Neodiprion lecontei: one gene and its partners. The protein of the gene in region 1 purifies or fractionates together with the protein of each later gene. This does not show direct contact. Links are inferred from orthologs where the notes say so. Each region holds a gene or a part of one and is shown in the gene's direction. Other genes may lie near its edges.

Region 1 (4,668 bases):
AAAAAAAAGGCAAAATATACTCCGTACTGAAATCGACTCTTGTTTCTACAGACTGTAGCAACAAGCATAATTATTATCTAAATGGCGTATTTATTGTAGATATACTCAGGTTATAACCCGTTATCGTAAATGGGACATGGCTGTACCACTTTTGATGAATGGACAGTACAACATTTTTTAATAACAGCAATATTGCACGCATAATTATTATTGTTAGTATAATTTTTTCAACAGTCTGAAGATGTGTGAAAAATCTAACGTAGTAGATAAACTTAAAATGATAACAGACGCGAATCTTTTTAGCAATTTATAATATGAATTTTACTCTGGTTCGGTTTCATTGCTTTATTTTTTTTTTTTATTTTTCCTCCACTTTTTAAGATTGTATTTATTTTTATCGTTTGATAATATTATTTACTCATGATATACACGAGCTTCTTTTATTTTCTGAGAAAATTATTCAACATGTTTTCTCATATAGCAATGAACAGACCTGTATATGTAAATAACAGTCTTTCAAGCCAATAAATAAGACTTATTTCAATAACATACTGATAACGACAGCGAAATTGTTACAGTAATTAATTGTTTCCTCCATTGTAATTCCTGCAAAAAAAAGGTATAATTTCAGTATACTTTATTCGGCGCTAGAAATATTTTCGGCAAATATACTCTTTGTTTAGTTCTTACACATTTTCAATCAGTTCGTAAGTTAAATAGTAATGTCGGGTCGATAACTCAAATTCTACCTATCGCTACATGTTTGAAACAGTTTGTCTTCTTGTTCAAAGATGTCTTCGCAAATTGGCTACCTTGTAGAGCTAATGTTGAAACGTCATCGAAAAGTGCCTGACCAGTGCTCGGTAGGTAAGTGAGCCCAGGGCCATAAGAAGCCCTGCCAACGATCCGGTAGCTTCTTTATCGGCGGGAGCCGCTTACCACGCTATCTCATGAGAAAAAAAAATAAAATAAAACTGCAGTAGCGGTCTTGGTTTTTCACGGGTAGCAAAATTCTACCGTAGTATTTTGTTCCCGACTTTTTGATCAATAGGAATGCCAACACATCAGGGAAACGCTACGTAGAGTCTCTATAGAACGAAGTCTAGCGCTACCTGGTGCGCGCTGAATGTAAACTACCTGTTTTCTTAGCATACTTGAAGGAGAAAATTGCAACCGCAGTATTTTGCTGCGCATGAAAATCTAGACTTCAACAATCTTCAGTCAACGGCGTATTTGAGACTTGAATTCCGATATCAAGTAATTGTGTTTTTTTGAATTTTATGTAACCACAACGAATTCCGTGTGATCATCAAACTGAAACAACGTTCACGGATCCTGGAAATTCACTTGAATCACAGAATTTTTCCGTTCGTCTGAATAACGATCTACTGTTTCATTCATATTGCATTTAGTACAATGCATCTTCCCGCCTCAGTCGCTTCGAATAGCGCCGTCTTAGGTTCGACAATAAAAGCGGTAGGTAGCGCTACCTGTACTGAGACGCAGGCGTCCTTCCCGTCGGTAAGTTACCGATCGATCATCGCCCGGCACCCCGCCGCTGCGGTAATCCGAACGATCCGCGCCGAAAGCTGCCTGCCGCCTAGATCACAGCACAGCCTCGGGATTGGTCTGACCGCAAAGTGAAAAAGATGCGTGTGCAGTGTGCACGGGTACCGAGTGTCAGCCGTGGCACGAGAAGCCTGAAGGTTGTCAGTCGCGTAGTCGCGATTCCGCGGCCGAAAATCCATCCCCAGTTGAGATAATAATCCCGGAACGGATTTCACACCGTATCGGTGAAAAATTAGTGCGTGGCGGGTGCAGAGTTCGGAGTTTCGCAACGTAAGGTTACAATTCCGTCGATATTATGTCAGCAGCCTCGGTGCTGCTCGTAGCGAACTGCTGTTAGGATCCAGGAGAGTTAAAATTCGCCGACTGGGTTACGACAGAGGTACGAAAATTGGTGCGGTATCAACGCGGAGAGTGATAAGAAAAAAGAAAAAAAAAAAAAAACAACAAAACTCGCGCTGCTTGACCCCTGATTACGTGCATCGTATAGCTGGCAATTTATTGGTTATGTGTCGCGTAGATTTGCCGTTGAATTCTCTAAATCTCTCCTCGGTATCGAAGAAAAACTCGGCGTTGCAAACGCCGCTTTGCGCGTGTGTGTATGTCCCCCCTCCCTCTCTCACTGTCCCTGCTTTCATGCCTTTCGTCCTTCTCCTTTTTTTTTTTTTTTCCACCCAATAATCACCCGTACGTATCACACAGGCAGGTAATCCTGGGAGGGGCGAATACTTAATTTTCTATATTAATACAAACTCGAATAAATCTTCCCCCCCCCCTCCGCAATTCCTAGATCCGCGATTATATTTATGTCCGAACAGCAGTCGGAGTGAAATGACGGACACATGTAATTTCCGTATCCTATAAATGATCAGTCGATGTAAACTTCGATGTGAAGGAAAGGATTTACCGTTGATTTAGTTTACAACCACAAGTCTCGCATATTATAATATTCATATGTGAATAATGAAATTCGATACCGAGACAAACAAACAAACGAGATATTTCTTTCCCTCCTTCCATCTCTCTCTCTCTTTCTTTCTCTCTTTTTCTGTCGACGACTCGTCTCAAATGCTTTCCCCGGATCGCCCTCCTTTCTTTTTTTTTTTTTTCACTATCCCCCCCCTATTTCCCCCCCCCCCCCCCCCCCCTTCCGCGTTCTCTCGACCTGTCACTTCTCTAGGTATATGCCGGACCTGCGTTTCTGTTCATCGACGCATTGACCGCAGTGCCGAGTGCACGCACCGATATATCACAGTTTGTTTTTGTTCGTCGTCTCTGTCTATTAGTTTTGTTTTATTTACAAACGTCATATAATTTTCGTCGTTGTTTTTTCGGTCCTGATCTCCGCGGTCCGAAATTACATCTCCTTCTCGGTTAAGTAGTCTTAAACCCGGTGTTACATAACCTCACTATTTCGAGTCGCGAAGCCGGTCGTCATTGTTTTTTTTTTCTTTTTTTTTTTTTTTCTCAAATTTTACCGGTATCCTATCAATTGAACCTCGTAGCGCGAGAGCCTGATTCATAAAGTGACAGCAGTGATATGTGAAAGATTCGTGTAAATGTCATAACTTTTACATGTTGTTTTTTCCCCAAATTTTTTTTTTTTTTTTTTTTTCACACCGTTTCGAATATTCAAGAATCGGTGTGAAAAATTGAAAAAAAGAAAACGAACAAATGAGTAGCCCAAAAATCAAAGGAGTTGTAGTAAACTGAGTAGTATACCGTACAGTCAGAGTAATTTTTTGTCGCATTCGATTTCAGGTTTTTAAACTCTACCGGTGATCGTCGGACGTCGAACATACATATTAATAAATTGGGGAGTGAGTGTTGGTGTACCTAAAAATAACTACCCGCATCTATTACGAAGCGCCGCATCGACTTAAATAAACATTAAAAGCAAAGCAAGATCAAGGAGAACGAGACGCAGAGAGCCAAAAATAAAAAAGCAATTCGTCAAGTTTACAATTGTAGTAAAATACCGTGAATAATTGCCGGCGTACTTAAATATTGCGACAACAATCGTGTTTCTTTCAACCAGGTGCACGCAACTCCGTGACGACCGAGAGTAAAAAGTTAACCGAGTAGAAAATATCGAAGAAAAAGAAAAACAAGCGAGAGAGAGAAAGAAAGACGAGGATCGACGAGGTGATCCAGAGAACCAAGAGAAACGCATTTGAGGTGAAACCAGCCTGTAGTGAACGGTGGTGGTGGTTGTGGTGGTTGTCAAGTAGTTGCACTTGACCCAAGTGCGATTAATTAATTGTAAAAATAAAAAGTAAAAATGCCGATGGTTTTTCTCGACCGCTTGCCGGTCCCGAGCTTACGCGCTTACACCTCGATAAGCATCGCGATATTGTCCTGTTCGATTTACTACGCTGCACAAATCGTCAAGGATCCAGGATGGCGGAACAATCATCCGAACTCCTTGGTCGCCGCTGTGGGAAACGCCACCGACAACAATGCATCGGCCATTGTCGATTCCAGGACCCTCGGTGTTCACATGAGGGAACTTTTTGCCTGCATGGTTCAGGAGCCGGGATGCATATGGGTGAGTTTCACTCGACACTTGTTTTTTTTTTTTATATATCACGAAGATTAAGTTAGTAACTCAACTTAAGCTAGCGTGTTTAGGAGAACTCGTTGGAAAATTGGTAGACCTTGGTGAACAAAACATACTCGTATAATTTTGAAAGCAAACTACTTGAACGTTATTCGGATGTTGCGGAGTAATGATTGATACTAACTTCAGTCTTGTCCTTTTTTTGTCATGTTGAAGTTGGGAACGTGTCGTGAAGATTCATGCTGAGAAAAAACCGTTAATTCGTGATTTTGGAACTGTTTGAAACTCAGTAAACCGTTATAACAGAAAACATACTCATATTTCACAATCTTAGTTGCTTAAAAATCATTGTAACAAATAAGAAATTGACGATTTTATCCCCAGTGTTTCGTGAAGATAACGTTCCTAACTTCAACCTCGTTCAAGTATGAGCATGAAGTTTAAGTAGCGTTACTGTAACGATGCTTGTTAATGAAAAATCGCTACTTCGTGTCTTTAAGAATTTTCGAGAATTAGTAAATCATTATAAACAGAATATAGTT
Region 2 (4,875 bases), on another chromosome or scaffold:
TTTTTTTTTTCACAAACACTCAACTGTAAGTTCTTCAATCACCAATAAAAAGAGCGTGAAAAAAATGGGTGCTAAAATAATTTTCATTCTTTTTTACACCAAGCCCAATAAAATGCCCGAAAACTAGACCTTTAGACTAGAATACCCCCTTAATTGATGTATGTATTATGGATGGGGGACAGTCCACATTTCATTGTAATATTTTCAGGGATAGCTGCACGGTCAAATATCAGAAGTTATTCGCCATAAAATCTTTCTTGGACAGAAGTAGAGGTATTCACGAACTCGGCAGTGCCAAAGAGATAAAAAAAAAAAGCGGTGCAAATTCAAATACCGATGAATTGCTAAGTACACAAAGGATCAAGCACAAGAGTCAGAAAAAAACTAGACGACGAGCAAGTAATTGAAATTATCAGGGACATCAGCCAAGGAAAAATTAAAACTGTTGCATATTGCTATTTGCAGACTAATTGAAACACCTTCCTGGAACGAAGCACGTTACATACTAGCTTTAGTCAACGATTATTCAAAAAACGTTTTCCCTACTGAAAATGGTCAAGTATTAAATTATAAAACATAATGACTGAAATTCACGTGTAATTTGATACATGATTTATTTTGTAAATTTGTTAAAATAAATAAAAATCTCATAATAAATTACAAAAGCACGAATCGTCAGATATAATAAATCAAAAATCATATAGCGAACTGAATAATTTTTATACGATTTTTGATCAATTGTTTGATTTTTTTTCACTTTGGTTCTCAGTCAATAGATTTAACGCTCGAAACATAACAGTGACTCCTCGAACAAACATTCTAGTGTTATTTGCATGAAACAACACGAATCCATATTATATTCTATTTCAGGAAGCAAATGTTTGTTCGAGGAGTCACTGTTATGTTTTAAGCGTTTGATTCCCACTACACGTATTCGTTTTGGAACATCGTTCATACTTCTTCCGTTAACTATACTTGGTAAACATTATGAAAACAATTGATAACATTTTTGAAATATAACTTTGTTTGGGAACAACATAATGATGTTCGAAGTCGTCGGTTTTTCCGCGACAAACGGCATTTAAAAAAATTATTATATGCATAATTATTGAAACTGATTGCCGGGGATTATGTATATACACACAATTGGATTACAAAGAAAATTAAATGAAAAAAAAAAAAAAAGTTGCGAATAGCGAGATACGATCCCGCGACCACCGGATGACGGGCCAGAGAGCTTACCACTGCGCCTCGCGACCATTGAATTATGATTATCGTAGTAAAGTATTTGAACGTGATGGAATATTTCAGTGTGGATTTTCTCGACAACGACAAAGAAGCGCATGTTAATGCTTTGCCACATTACACCTCTGGCCTTGAGCTTTTATTACGCGCAGTATGAATCGAATCTGAATTTCACAATTGGCTTTTACAGAACCCATAGCGCATGCGCAATAACTTTCTGCATTCTGCTTATGGCTTCTGGTTTTGTGTGCTTCGGCCTTAAGGCTGATTTTTCACGTGCAGCAAACAGCTGAATGCAACCGCAGCAAGAATGCTCTGATTGCTCATCAATTCTGGTGGTTATTTTGTCATCATAAAACAACTAGGAAGACACTAGAGTCGGAGAATGGAGATACTACTAGACCGCAGCGAGGCATCTGGGGGCGAACGAGGAGAATAGAGATGCTCGTAACAAGGTCCCTAGATTAGATCGCTTCGCTCGTAACGGAGTCACACGGCGACATTGAAATGAGGTTTTGTTTTTAGACCTGATACAAGACCGCGATGCCACCTATACTAGGGATCAACTTTCATTCTAGTTTCTTCTCCTTCTACTCCATGCTCGGTACTTTACTGTGCTAGTCAAAAAACCTACTGCTAATTGGATCGATCACTTACAGTGAAATTCACTTTTCGAAATGTCAAAATGCGTACGTGTTAATATTCAACATGCAATTATGTGTCATCACCATTACCGAATAAATTAGGACCGGTCTAACCAGTGTTTACAGGATTTGACGATCAAGCACATCGTTTACGTGTTATTCCGAACATCCGTTTCTCATTAAATAACGAAAATTATCTGCCAGATTACAGAACTTGCGCAATTCAAGAGTTCGTATCAGGCAGTCTGCCAAGAACTTTGAAGTGTCTGCGGTGTCAATATCAGTGTTTTCAAACAGTTGGATTTCCATTCACAGTCCGTAAGGTTACTACTTGTCGTAATTTTTAACTCTTCGAATCATTTATTATTTACTAAATCTAATTCGCTAAAACATAACCTCTGCTGATAGATAATTTTTCGTCGCTTTTCATATGGGTAATTTATAGATTTAATTAAATTCTGTCAGTCTTATTTTCAAGATCATCACCTACTCGTTTTCAGTAAATCTTATCAGATTTCGACGTTTTCCTAATCCCAACGTTGCGAATTCATTGTAATATCTGTCATATGTAGAGTCTCTTCTCTTTCATTTTAGCTATTATACTGTAAATATAATTAACTCTACACTCACTCAGTAATCATTGCAGTGGTGTAACATTCCCACCTTTGAAACCACTTTTCTAATCATTATTTTGATGCATAAATATGTAACATCCATTCGTCACCTATAATATTTACCAAATCAAGAGATAATTTAGAGCACCGTTGTAGATTGAATAACTGCTGATCCTTATCTATTTTAGTAAAGAATATCAGATTGAATAAGAAACATAGTCATAGTAATAAAGTAAGGCTTTTTTATCAAGGCAAACCAAAATTAAAAAGAATAGCAGTCTAGTTGCACAAATTATTACGATTGCTGCCTTGAATTTAGTTTTGATAGTACAAGTTTATTCTGAAAGTGCATGCATGTAACTGCAAGCTCTTTTTATCACAATGACATTACCAACTTATACCAAGTTTAAAAATAATCTCATTGTATGTACAACTGATCAAAATTGATAGTTATAGTCGATAAATTTATGATAATACCGATATTTTTCTTACAGGTCATTTGACATTTGCAATAAGTATATTGTCAACATTGTTTTTTATACACATATTTGCAAATTATTATTTATCATCAGTTCTACCCAAGATGGTAAATAAATTATTTATCAAATATTTGGAAAGATAGACTATAAAATTTCAAAGTTCTTCAACGAAGTACATGATGCACACAAATCGAGGTGGATTCTGACCAATTCAAGGCTGCCAGTGTCGTCTGCTATTTATGTTAAATAGTTGGTGGCAGACAACATTGGTGGCCTTGAACAGATCAAAACTCACCTCGCTTTGTGTACATATCTCAAAATGTTAAATACATGGGAATATCAGAAAAAGCGGTAAAAGCTTGGGAATTATTAAGATTTTCTTTGAAAAATAATTTCTTACTTAAAATCCAAGTCATTGTATAAAGCGTTTAGTAAATACGTTAAAATCATTTGCAATGCACATCATTTGAATGTGAAATTGTTTAAATTTCAAACTTTTCAATCGATCTCTTTTCAAGATCATCGCGGACGTTTGTCAGGACAAACAGAAAGACCGGAATTTCTTAAAAAATGTATTTTTTGGACACTAGAGGTCTGAAAACATAGATTCATTGAAATTAAGATAGGTTGTTCTCGATCAAAACCAATATTTCTCTTATATCATTAGAGGTGATGAACAGTAAAAAAGCAATTATAATTCTCAGGGTATCTTCTGCCTCTTAAATTTACCTACCTAAATCCTGGAATTATTTTGGGACATAAATATTGCTTCTTAGGTATGGAAAAGTCTGGAATACTTTTGTTATAATTTATTCTGGAAAAGTTAACATAATACATTTTTGATTGAATAACCACAACATTTCGTTTGCAATTTCCGAAAAAGATTTATATTAATAATTGTGGTTTGCATTGAAATTGACATCATACCAAAAAAATTTATTTGACGTCAAAGGCATATCATGATAAAACAGTATAAAGTACCATGAAATACTATAGTGTGGCTAAGAGCTACCATGAAATATTCGTGAAATATTGTAAAATGGTCGTGAAATATATGAAATACTGTCAAATGGTGTGAAATCCTACGGAAACTCAATGCTATACCTGTATGCTATGAAATGGTTGTAAAATGGTCAGGATGCAACATTGTCACGTAGTTGCCCACACGGTTAAAACTGCAGTCTCATGATGAATTTGTATTTTGAACGCCAATTTCAATCAGCTTGCAGTGCAGTTGATGAGGTGAAAGTTAATATCGGTGTAACAATGTATTTTTTGAAAAACTCATCATATTTCAGGCTTTAGAATTTTCCGAATTCAGGAAATCGTGATAGAACATCGCATACTCAATTATTTATACTTTGTAAATTCAATGTGCTAGATGCCGTGAACCTTACCGTTTCCATATTTTTAACGATAAATATCATTCTGGCCTATATGCCGCTCCAGCAGTCATGTCAAACTGCACAGTGTAACATGATATACATGCGATTGACGGAATAAAATTGAACAATATTATTGTTTGATATTATCATCGAATTTTATGTTCTTCGTTTCTCACCAGATGTCTTTTACTTTTGAATAGAATTTGTTATTAATTGCAAATACTTTTATTTGAAAATTACTGTCATATTACTAAGTGATGGTGAAAATTTGAATTAATTTTGTTGTTCAATATATTAACTTCACAAAAAAACAGTTGATGCTATTCAATGAAACAAGTAAAGGCAGAGTTTATGCCAAAGTATGTTTTTAGATTTCTTTGTAAAGCAGTTTACTAATATAATTCGTTGTTCGCTTTTTCGAAAAGGAGCTAGCTGAGATGAGCACCGCGAAAGAACAGCCCGGGCCGTCGAAGCCTTCGGGGTCAGCGCAGGAGGAAAAAGAAAGGGA
Region 3 (5,402 bases), on another chromosome or scaffold:
AGTAGAAAATGAAGAATTGCATTCAGTCTAATGCGAATAACGTATGACAGACGCTAAAAGTGCAGGAAACATACCTCCTCCTCTTTGTAGTGCTTGGCAGCTATTTCATCATATGCGATGTCAATATAATCAACTTCCCGATGAATAAGTTCCACAGGAGTTAAATCTAAGCACTACCCATTGACTAGATATTAGAATCAATGATTGAAACGGTGACATATATATCATTCAATATTACAAGTGAATAACTCACGTTTTCATTTGAGCCATTGTTGTTTTCGTATCTAGTATTGATAGATATGTGAAATGTGGGTATGAACGAACACTGAAATACAAATACACCCGTTGTACAATGCATAATGGAATTTTAATGAAATTTAATGCATAATACTCACTGTGTAAACTGTGAAGATCACCATTGCCCCATGTAACAAAATATTACATATTATTTTATTTGCAGGGAATGGAAAAGTGTTCCAAAACAAATAGGGTATGGTTTATATGTTCTAAGGTACTTGGGAGTGATTCGTTGCAGATTTGAATTGAATCACCTTTAATTTCCAACAAAAGTTGAAACATCTCACCCGTAATTGTGAAAGGATAGTAGTTCCAAGCTTTTTCAGTAATGTAAAATATCTTCGGTACAAATGATTGGATCCAATACGGTAGTTTACTGAAATGAAGGAGGAGAACAATAACGGTTGAAATAACATAAAGGCATGGAAGATTGAAAACGATATAGAAAACTGCTTCATTATCCATGGATCAAGAATATATTACTTTGAAAGATGAATCCTCTTCTCAGTAAATTGACCTGTTCCATGAGTGGCATGTTCGCACGGCGACGTCTCAATAACTTCGACACCTTCATCGGAATCAGATTGCTCGTGACTGTGTCGCGCAATCATATACAATTGTCCGATTTGATACTAAAATGATAAACGATGAGAGAAATTTTGGAATTTTATTTTCTCCAACATTACTTGGCAAATACTGTAACTAGGTCCTTGTTACGTGAACCGATATTTGAATTCTCACTCGCGAAGGAATGATTGCCGATGCATCATATTTGGATAAATATATTCGATTGATTGTGCGATTATTCATCCAAATTAAATATAATAATATACGCAAATCAACATGTTTATATAGAATTGCCTATAATCGTTGTAACAGTGATTTTATTCATAATTGATTCGTGCATAATTGAAAAAAGAATTTAAAATTATAATCTCATTACCTCGTCCGTGGTAAACGGCATGCATATCCGATATTCCTTGGTCAACACCATTCTAATCACGACAAGTTATAAGTTATATTTAATCTGACAAGATTAGAAGTTAATCCTCCAATGTGAAATTAATATTTTTCAGTTATAAAATCGTAATGTAAATTGGGAAAATTTATAGCGAGATACAATTTTCGAAACTATGTATACCGCAAGTACAACATACGTGGTCTGCTTTGATGGGACAAACCATAGACGACGAAACACCATAAGATAAACAAACGCGAATAGGACGAAAATGCAGCCTACTTCAAGCCGCGCTTACCCCATCTGAAAAGCATCGATACATCGTTACAGCTGATATCTGATATGCAGCTCACTTCGCATTGCCACACACTGCACACGTAATGTATGTACGTACATACGTGTATATTTATATTACGTGTACCAAATTGAAGTGACTGACAAGTTTTTCTGTGATGTGGACAATGATTACGTTATGATAACGCGAAAGGATGAACGACATGCAACTGTAAAATAGGAAAGAGAATAGCCTGTCAGAGGGTAGAAATATAACCGTCGTTAAATGGCTTATCAAACGTTTAGGCAGGAATACCTGCAAATGCCCGTGGTGACACGAGCGTATACGACTGCTTGTGTCATCACGACTCTAGCCGTGGTATACATACGTATTTTATTATCTTCGTACAAAATTTTCCGTCAGAGTTCACTCGATTCTCGATATTATTCAGATTCCATGTTACCCCCGTGATTACTGCACTTTTCAGTATTGACAAAACGTTCGTCATTACTGCGAGGTTAAATTTGTGTCAAATTAAATTTTTATTCTTTTTCTTACAGCAATTGGACCTCGTCTCTCCATTCCAATTATACTTCAATCCGATTTTAATACTGAAACAATATCAGGTAATTTTCTCAATCAGTTTCTACGTTAGAAAATATAAATATCGTTCCACGGTGAGTTAATATCTCTCTCTTGTTAATTATACCTTTGCAGTTATGGCGACTGATCACAACTTTCCTATTCTTCGGGACGGTTGGATTCAATTTCTTCTTCAATATGATATTTACGTATCGCTATTGTCGGATGCTGGAAGAAGTCTCGTTCCGCGGTAGAACCGCCGACTTTGTTATGATGTTCATATTTGGTGGCATCTGCATGATTGTATCCTTGTCTATGAACTTTTCGTCTCCGTTTTATTTTATTATTGTATCATCCGCATTGCTCTAGTTGAGTATTATTCCTCAAATTCTTACAGATATTCGCATTTTTCGTTAATTTATTGTTCCTTGGCCAAGCACTCACCATCATGTTGGTGTATATATGGTCAAGACGGAATCCTTTTGTCAGAATGAACTTTTTTGGACTCCTCAACTTTCAAGTACGCTTGCAGATAATTAAATTGGAAAAATAGAAGGAATATCGATTTTGATGTAACAGACGCATTGTAATTTTTTCCGTTCTACATAGGCGCCATACTTGCCTTGGGTGCTCTTAGGATTCTCCGTTCTATTAGGCAATGCAATTTGGGTTGATTTGATCGGAATGGCAGTAGGACACATGTACTACTTTGCTGAAGATGTATTTCCACGACAAAATGGTGGTTTTCGCATACTCAAGACCCCGCAGATATTGTGAGTTATTCAGATTTATCTACTGTCTTCAAATTAAGGCTCTCACCAAAGGTTAGGTCATACTTCTTATAATAAATTTCTGTGTTCAGAAAAACTCTGTTCGATGCACATACGGAGGATCCAAATTACACACCGTTACCTGAGGATAGGCCGGGCGGTTTTAACTGGGGTCAAGGTGCTAACGTGCAATGATTCGCAGACAAATTCGCCGAATTAACACCACATTATTATCATCACCCGAGCGTTTCAAGTAAATCCTTCAGTTATTTTTTTGTCGTATATAACAGTTACTTTAATTTGACATAATGCTGCATATTTTTTGAAGATATTTAATTGTAGTTTAAGTGCTGGGTATCTATGGCATATCCACTCGAAACAGTTGCAATTGTTATGCATGCATCAAACTTTAATGATTTGAGGGGTTTTGCTGAATATTTACAATTTTTAAACCAAGAAACCCGTGCTTATGCAATATCTCATTCAGCATTGACATTTTCTAAAGCTATTCAAAAATTGAGTAATAACAGAAAACTACTTGAATGAGTTCCTGCCGTCACTCTTCTAGAATCACTAGATCAATCGGAAGGAAAATCTTATATTCCAATTATCAAGTTAATTTTACGTACAAGTAACATAGGTTGTTATGGTAAAAGGTATGATTGAATGATCGAACGATGCTCTGCTACCATAGTGAGATGACATTAAAGGCATTAGAAAACAAGTTTTCGCAATTTATCATACATGCAATTCTCAAATTATATAATTAGATGTTGGTAGTAAACTTGAATGGTCGTTTGAAAAACCTGTTTAAAAACATGGCAAGCGTTGGTTTGCATCTCAATTGTCTATGTAAGTTTCGTCATAATATATTTATATTTGTGTAAAATGTCTTACTATCTGTGATTTAGCTATAAAAATAAAGTATCAATTAAAATTCTCCAGGTGAAATGAACTCAGAAGTTTCTGCATCGGATAATGTCAGAACATTTCTAAGGCTTTTAATAATGATAGTTGTGAACTCGTGCGCATAATGTCTAACTAGAAGTAGAATCTTTCCGATTAACCATTGGGGCTCAGCTACAAATGTAAGCAGTATATTTTATTAATAACAACGGTCCATGACTATGATTTCTTAAAATCAAACATACGGTGCAGAAAATTATACATCCAATTCTCACATTCTTAAAACCATTTCCCAAAGATCAGCTTTAATATTCGTACAATCAATAGTACCTTTTCAAAATATTTAAGTATTATCGTAAGCGTTTAATTTATTGATACCTCTAAACATATTGTTTTTGCCGTCAAACGTTTTCGAATGTACAGTTAACCGAAGTCTATTATCATGTTTTCAAGAGTGCTATTCCTTGAATACTTGAAATAATTCAACAATTTGTCAGACTTTCGGAATGAGCTATTTAAATAACGCTTTTGTCCACTATTCATTTACGTTGGTAGAACGTTCATTGTAGAGTAAACGTTAGCCATGTGTCTGAAATGAATTCATCAGAGTGAATCATGATTTGAAAAATCATTTATTTAGATTTAAATAGTAATGGGTTATAATATTGGGATAGAATGATGTGCAACTTAATACATATATGCAATGACATGGACTATAATACAATGATCGGGGCTCTATTATACACATTTTTTAGTTATATCGCCACTGTTGCTAGAAGCACCGTGATATCATCTGGTTTACCACCTGTAACAAACAATGATATTTTGTTGTTCATGTTCTCTGAAGTGAAAATATTGCATGAAAATTTCGCAAGACCAAAGTACGTGTTGAAATTGGTTCAAGAGTAAGCGGTGGCTGCATTTCATGCCCAGTACTAACCTATAGCATCTATTCCATTTTCTCTAGCATTTTGGGCAAATGGTGACATAAAAGCCCCGTCGAACGCAAGACTGCGGGCCATCCAGGCTATTGAATTGGCAACACCCTGCAATTTCGTAGGATCACGCTCTCCTTGGACTTTGCGCATCTCGGTGACTAACAACTGGTCAGGTACATTGTCGAAAACTCCGTCAGTTGCTAAAAGAATAACATCCCCATCTTCCACGCCAAAGCTGGAAGTGTCCGCAGCTTCGGGCCTATAAAAATATTACTAAACTTGTAAAATATTGTCGGGTTCAAACTTCTAGCAGGGAATCGGCATATCATACACGCATATAATTGTTTGTATTCAAAGTTTAGATCCCAAAATTATAATCCAATTGTAAATAACGTGAAGTTTGTTAAAAAGAGAAAGAAAAAAAAAAAGAATAAACATATAATAGAGAATAAATGCACCCTATTTATAATTATTCAAAGTGTAATTATTATGTCAACTGTATTTGGGATTCGAAATGGCAATTAATGAAAAACTAATTAGTTGTTACTGCAAGTAAAAATTAATTGTCTCTCACCTGTCGCTAAGTACCAACCCACTGTGGCCAGGAGGTGGTGACGACAATTGAAACGGAGTGTTGAAGTAGTGCTGCTGTTCCGATGAACGATGCACTACTTCTC
Region 4 (6,736 bases), on another chromosome or scaffold:
AAAAAGCAAAATTCAACTGGATTCTAAGATAGAGCCCGACTGTAGATTAATCAGCGTTTAAGGTAATTTTAGAGTATAGCGCCGCAAAGTAATTTAGTGTTCTCAGATTCGTAGAGTGTCATTTTCACCTCCGATTTATGGTTTCAAATTTGATTCTTTTTATTCTCCCTATGAACCGGAGTCTATCTCATCTTTTCAGATTTTCGACAGTCCGATTTTAATACATAGCGTCATTTTTAATCCGGTTAATGTATCAGCCGAACGGTCACGCCCCACGCACCACTCACACTGCCTCTTTCTTGATCGACCCGCGGCTTCAAGCGCGGCTTCAAACTCATATGACAGACGCCATTGTACACACAGTAACTTGTTTCAAAAAATATCTAGCTCGATATTCAGCCACAACGTCAGATAACGTTTTTAAATATTCTTATTTTTCTTCCTTCTTTTTTGCTGTTGGCTATGTCCCTTACGGCATTGTGCCAATATACAAATACCGTCATCATCATCATTATCATAAAAATTTTAATTATATTTTTAAGATGCATACCTACAGCGTTTTTCACTGGCTCTACCTTGGCCCTAGAAATACCTATAGACATGAAGGAAGCCCTGGTACACTCTTCCGTATGAGCGGAAAACGATATAGAGAGAGAAGTAGTAATGCTACATCCTTTCTTTGTCTCGCAGGATCCGATTGGCCGACTCTACTGATCTCTATTAGCGTTTTCCACTGGTTGCACTGAGTGCGCACTGGTTCGAACAGGGGGCACTCGTTCCGTGCATGCGTCGCCCGGCATCGGGGCAAACCTTCTGAGTGGAACGCCGTAAAACGTATAAAGGCAGACTAGATCATAATTTCTCCTAAATCACAAATAATGTGACGTTACTCGACCGACTGCGCGACTATCAGTTTTTTCAAGCAAGTGATAAAGAAACCAATTGAACAAACGCAACGGTAATTTTTTGTTTGTAAATAAATGTCATAAATGTTAGGCACGAGCATACAAGGGCAAAAAAAATGGACAATTCCACTGAAAAGATAAAAATTAATAAGTAGCAAGTCAAGTTGTCCCAATCTCCTGAAATATACCTAGCAGTTAACCTCTAAAAGCTGAAAAAATGTGTTTCCATACTTCGATATCGGACATGCTGTGGATTACTCCTATGAAACTTAAAATTTTGGGAATCTCTCCTCTATCTTTCGGCTCCAGCAAGTCCATCATCACTGCTAGACGAAGATGAAATTAGATCTAATAAAAGAGTTGCTGTCACAGCATCTACTTAGACTCTTTCACGATCGGCAGCCATAATTGCACTGCTTTGACACCGACTCCCGATTTCAGGGCAATATTTTACGCACTCAGTGCTAAATTCACGCACCCGAGCTGCCAGTGGAACACGCTGGAAATACAAATCTACCGGTAGTACGCTCTCAGTTCACACTCAGTGCAACCAGTGGAAAACGCTATAAGTGGAAAACGGCAGTACATGCTTTAGAAGCAGAGCTACTCACGAACTTGGAAGCGCAAAGGAGATAAATGGTTGTTGGCAGCACTGGGAGCTAATTTCGGAACGCACCATTTCTTTCATCATCACTTAAGGCATGGAAAACAAGTAGGTTTCTTCTCTTGGTATAGTTTAGATCAACCGTGTCTTATGCATTAGCCAATGCTGCAATTTCGGAGTAATCGTTGTCGGCAGCGAAGTGGTGGATTTTGTCATCTGACGGTTTAATACACAATCGTCGCGGTTTTTGGATTTGTGCCGTACATCAAAAAGTGGTTGAATAGATAATACGGTGCAAAAATGTCAGAACTGAGAGAGTGGTTCAATGCCCAGCCATTATTTACTAGATGGTGGCTTCTTTTATCCGTGGGATGCTCTCTTTTGGGAAGATTCGGTATTTTCAGTCCGGAACGACTCGTTTTATTCTACATTCCATTCGTTCACAAATTCGAGATATGGAGAGCCGTTACCAGCGTATTTTATTATCCCCTTGGACCAACAACTGGGTTTCACTTTATGATCAACTGTTATTTCATCTACAACTATTCTGTAAGGCTCGAACGTGGCGAGTATGATGGACGACCAGCTGATTATTTCTACATGCTTCTGTTTAACTGGGTTTGCTGTGTCATCGCTGGACTCTTTGGAGAATTCCCACTTCTCATGGACCCTATGGTACTCAGTGTACTCTACATATGGTGTCATCTCAACCGAGACACTATTGTCAATTTTTGGTTTGGTAAGAAAATAGATGCATAAGACTTAATGTCGCTCCTTATTTTCAAACTTGTTTTACTTAATATTGATCGGCAAGGTTAGCTGTAATCGTACACCAATTTATTCCATAAGTTACCCAACACATTCCCTGTAGAATAATGATATTCTAGTTTGCTGTGTTAATGTAACAAACGTAATGGCAAAATATTTAGCTACTGCAGTTGGTTGAATGGTTTACAAAATGCCTAAAAAAAAATATCCAAATATCCAAAACCCAATTTGAATTGTTCCCATATTTTGAAAGTCCACAGGTGTAAAAGTTAGCGTAATGGGTCAATAGTCTATTGATTTTTTTGATTTTCATCATTCTTAAAACAATTGATTGCATTGGGAATTCTAAAACCCTATTTGTTTGATTTTCGAAATATGCTGCATAAAAAAAAAAACAGTTTTGTCGTAGTAAAGATTGGACAATTGGGCGATTCAAATGAATTTTTTTTATTTTATAAATAATTTCATTATCAAAGCATGAAACAAGCAAAAATCTTAAGCAAAAACTTGTAGTATCTATCAAAGTGATAATAAAATTTTCACTCTTTTCTTTATCAGATAGCATACTTGTAAATAAAAGCTACATTCACTATTTATTCATACTACAATATCGAGCAGGATTTCTGCCGTGTTTTGTCACAGAAATGTATGACCTATTATCTTGTGTTATTCACCTACTGTCCCGATTTACTTATTTTAATGTGGAGTTTAAATAAAAAAACAAGAAACACAGAAAACAATGTGATATTGTCATTACAGGGACGCAGTTTAAAGCAATGTATCTGCCATGGGTTCTCTTTGCTTTCAATCTTGTGATATCTGGCGGTGGAATGTTGGAACTGGTTGGTATTCTAGTGGGACATTTGTACTTCTTCCTGAAGTTTAAATACCCTCAAGAATTCGGAGGTCCAGATTTATTGGCCACACCTCAATTTCTCGAGGCTTATTTCCCTCCTTCAAGACTCAGAGGGTTTGGAACCGCTCCTTCACAAAGGGAACCACAGAGACCGGGCAGAAATATGTATGGTGGTTATCAATGGGGACGTGGCCAGCCTCTCGGCCAGTAATCAAGGTGTATACCTAATTAAACCAAGTTTACATCTGTATATTTTATGAAGAGTGAGTGTACAAGTATACCAAGAAACTGGGAGTAAATGAAACATACTATGTACAGGATGACACCGGACTATCGCCCCATAGGCTACCCATGTGTTCCTTGTGAAAATCTGAGGTTAAAAAATTTTTTACTTTTTTATAGAAAATTTATTCTTTATAAATTACAACCACTTCACATTAGCCAATCCAGTAGCATTTAATGGCTCAGAATAGGATTGCTAGGGCTGGCGAAACCCCATTTATTTGTTGTGCACTCAGCAGCTGCCCTGAGCCATCAAGTGCTATCGAATTGGCCAATTTCAAACAGTAATTTACAAATAACAAATTTACTATGAGAAATATCATTATAGTCGCAAATTTTCATGAAGAATACAACGGTAGCTTATGGGGCAATATTTCTAGATCACCCTATATACATACACATATGCATGTATATATTCGTGTATACGATATATATTTCTGAAGATAGATAGTTTTTTTTCTACTTTCTCAACTTTAAAAATGATAGAGTTAATTTAATGCAGTATGAAAACATTATTTCGAAGTTGCCTGATTAGTTTTCCATGGTAAATGGTGGTACAATTTGTTATTTGAAGATAATTAAGATTTATGGGAATATCTCAATGTTGACCTGTTATATGTTGATAAAATTAATTATATCAAATTTAATAATATACCTACCAGTTTTTGCTCGAGTGCTTGCAAAGTAAGTTTCTGGAACTAGAGAATTCTGCACTACAGTACTTCCAACAAAAGATAGTTCCTTTCTTCACTCTGATGGTAAAGCACATTTAATAAATACAATAATGCTCAAATAACAGGGTCAGGGTAACCGCTGGCTACTTATTGTGAGTGAGTGGGGGTGGGGGGGCTCTGCATAATTAAGTAAGAAGTTATACACGGATCAGTATAATTAGTATTTATGTTTGTCGAATGATTACTAAAATGAAGCTTAGCATTGAGATTTTGTTAATCGCTGCTTGTCAATTGTGAAAAATTAAATGCAATCTTGTCATTGCATTTTCAATTGTTAAAACAAACTTTCGATTTAATGAATCAATCTGATTTAGAAAATATGCGTATTGCTTTATATTAACATCAAAGAAGGTAGCAATTTGGAACGGATCTCGGAAAACTTGTCTCGTTCACTTCCTGGTAAATACCTACTTATATTGGACAGTTTGAATGAATCTAGAAAAATACACAATGATTTTAAACGATATATCACTTACACGTATTTATGTGTACCAATATCATATGAACATTAAGTGTCAGTAATAATATTCAGGCTGGTGACAGATGAGGAAGACAGGGAATTATGGTACTCCAAACGTAAGATGTCTTTTTCAAAAGTCTTCACCTTCAATATTCAACTTGTTTTTGACAAATTTAACAAATAATTCTGTACCACATGTCAGTACAGTATTGTAGACTATTATTTAATAAGATAATGGCAATCAAACAAAACTGAATGCTGGCCTGTGTACAGAAAGCATAAAAAATACGGCAGGAAGTCTGGAAATTTGATATTTATCTGTCTTGTCACCGCTATGAAGTTTTTGCTGTATCATGTACATAAATGTATATTTTATTATAAATATAATATATTAGGTACAGAATTCGTGAATAAACGTGGATATCTATGTATGTTTGTCACACATTATATACAAATGTACAGGTATTGATCCAATTGTTTATCAAAGCAAACTTACTTGCGTTATATACAGGGTGAGTTTTCTCCGGGGTCTGATCTAGGAGGAGCTTGGATATGTGAGAGTCCGCCTTCTTCTATTCATACTCGTCCTGTGTCAATGCTTGTATCCCGCTATCAAAACAATCCCTCATGTGAGTAGATTGTATTTCGGATGTGTGCTATACGTGTGGACGTAAACAGATTTAGAGATAAGCGTATCTGCTCTATAATCACACACTATTATTTTGAAGCGGACGAGTATGAATAGAAGTCGGACTCTCAGCACATCCAAGCTCCTCCCAGATCAGACCCCGGAGAAAACTCACCCTGTATATACTATACATATAAGTTGCTCATTTTATTCTTGAAATTCTCATGCAATAGTAGTTTTTGAACCAAAGCCAGAAAGTTGTATGGCTTTGGTGTGAACATTATTTTTTTTATGTAAAAGCCGTAAGATACGCCATTATGGTCGCGTTTTCCGACCCTACAGTTGAACTTGTGCTCAATTGAACACGTCTCTGTATAAGGTTCAATTTTATGGCAGCAAAATGCAACCATACTGGCGTACTTTATGGCTACTAAATTGAAAAGTTCATAACATTGGCATCTGTGATAGTCTGCTACGCCAAACTGCGGACAGCGCTTGAACCATCAACAGTGAGGTCATTCTGATAGAACCAGCCAATAGAGCCTCTCACTGACCCTACTGGCATCAATTTTAATTTTCTCCACCTGACAGCGAGATGTAGGCCACGCCCCTACCACACATCCAATTATGTAATATTTCGTTCTTACGCCTCAAGACTCAAATTCGCCAAGCTACATGCACAGCATCTGTTCTGTATCGTTGAACGCAGGTGGTTTGATGCCAGGGTGTGGGACCACTCGTGTTGAATTGTGATAAACCGGCAACAGCTATCATCACTCCATTGTCAATACAAAATCGTTCGTCAGTTGCATAAAGGGTAGCGTTTCTTTCCTCACACATCTCAGCCATCATTTTCTGCAGTCTTAAATTACAACCGACACCACCAACTATAAGAACTTCGTGCGATCCTGTGTGTGCCATAGCTCGTTCTGTTAGATAAACAAAATAAACGGTTTGATGTCAAGTTAAAAAGTTAATGCATTTTTTTCTTGTCAGCTTATTTAATTACCTGTTATTTCTATCAACATTGCAAATAAAGTTTCTTGTAAAGAAAAGCATAGATCTGCGTTTGTATATTCGCCATTCTTCAACCATTTGGGTAGTCGTTCTTCAATGTGACTCAAGATACCAGAAAATGACACGTCCATTCCTTTGACTGTATATGGCAGTGGCGCCAGTTTTTGACCTCTGTTGAAATAGAAAATGGCATTCATTAAATGAATGAAGAAAAGTGTCATAATTAGCAGAGATGTGTCAGAAATTCTCAATCTTGAGTTACTAGGCATGCATAGTACTCGTAGAGAAAAAAATGCATACGCAAATTTGAAACATAAATTCCGCATATGCTCATGTACATAGTTTTTTGGAAATACGGACTTTTGTCATTGAAGCTTATAAAAAAATTGACTAACCAAATTTGCAAAAGTGTTGGCAAGTGAATTTTTTGGTTGCAAACCCGTTGGACCTTCCAGTGTATGAATGTCGAAGAATTTAATCAA

The links.
Region 2: the proteins of E3 ubiquitin-protein ligase AMFR (region 1) and E3 ubiquitin-protein ligase RNF185 purify together in Homo sapiens (affinity purification with mass spectrometry; 3 studies listed by BioGRID and IntAct, with this or other methods). This does not show direct contact. The link is inferred for Neodiprion lecontei from reciprocal best matches to the Homo sapiens genes AMFR and RNF185.
Region 3: the proteins of E3 ubiquitin-protein ligase AMFR (region 1) and derlin-2 purify together in Homo sapiens (affinity purification with western blotting; 4 studies listed by BioGRID and IntAct, with this or other methods). This does not show direct contact. The link is inferred for Neodiprion lecontei from reciprocal best matches to the Homo sapiens genes AMFR and DERL2.
Region 4: the proteins of E3 ubiquitin-protein ligase AMFR (region 1) and derlin-1 purify together in Homo sapiens (affinity purification with western blotting; 4 studies listed by BioGRID, with this or other methods). This does not show direct contact. The link is inferred for Neodiprion lecontei from reciprocal best matches to the Homo sapiens genes AMFR and DERL1.

What each region holds. Positions count from the first base shown.
Region 1 is NC_060260.1:39,792,653-39,797,320, reverse strand, and holds the start of E3 ubiquitin-protein ligase AMFR, read left to right. Parts: upstream 1-1,626; 5' UTR 1,627-1,839; exon of another isoform or gene 1,840-1,960; intron 1,961-2,808; exon of another isoform or gene 2,809-2,939; intron 2,940-3,055; exon of another isoform or gene 3,056-3,121; intron 3,122-3,327; 5' UTR 3,328-3,847; coding exon 3,848-4,114; intron 4,115-4,668. UniProt on the Homo sapiens protein: E3 ubiquitin-protein ligase that mediates the polyubiquitination of lysine and cysteine residues on target proteins, such as CD3D, CYP3A4, CFTR, INSIG1, SOAT2/ACAT2 and APOB for proteasomal degradation.
Region 2 is NC_060262.1:22,953,106-22,957,980, forward strand, and holds the start of E3 ubiquitin-protein ligase RNF185, read left to right. Parts: upstream 1-1,841; 5' UTR 1,842-1,922; coding exon 1,923-1,934; exon of another isoform or gene 1,935-2,323; intron 2,324-4,792; coding exon 4,793-4,875. UniProt on the Homo sapiens protein: E3 ubiquitin-protein ligase that regulates selective mitochondrial autophagy by mediating 'Lys-63'-linked polyubiquitination of BNIP1.
Region 3 is NC_060263.1:3,016,682-3,022,083, reverse strand, and holds derlin-2, read left to right. Parts: upstream 1-1,657; 5' UTR 1,658-1,814; coding exon 1,815-1,907; intron 1,908-2,089; coding exon 2,090-2,155; intron 2,156-2,246; coding exon 2,247-2,414; intron 2,415-2,508; coding exon 2,509-2,631; intron 2,632-2,720; coding exon 2,721-2,884; intron 2,885-2,973; coding exon 2,974-3,076; 3' UTR 3,077-3,134; intron 3,135-4,400; exon of another isoform or gene 4,401-4,542; coding exon of another isoform or gene 4,543-4,592; intron 4,593-4,727; downstream 4,728-5,402. Other genes in the region: cytoplasmic phosphatidylinositol transfer protein 1, read right to left, coding at 75-173, 254-325, 396-403, 552-673, 781-929, 1,241-1,292, 1,455-1,498; protein phosphatase PTC7 homolog, read right to left, coding at 4,543-4,592, 4,728-4,984, 5,300-5,402.
Region 4 is NC_060262.1:20,812,262-20,818,997, reverse strand, and holds derlin-1, read left to right. Parts: upstream 1-1,650; 5' UTR 1,651-1,809; coding exon 1,810-2,248; intron 2,249-3,036; coding exon 3,037-3,344; 3' UTR 3,345-5,894; coding exon of another isoform or gene 5,895-6,166; 3' UTR 6,167-6,214; downstream 6,215-6,736. Other genes in the region: probable tRNA N6-adenosine threonylcarbamoyltransferase, read right to left, coding at 5,895-6,166, 6,247-6,425. UniProt on the Homo sapiens protein: Functional component of endoplasmic reticulum-associated degradation (ERAD) for misfolded lumenal proteins. Forms homotetramers which encircle a large channel traversing the endoplasmic reticulum (ER) membrane.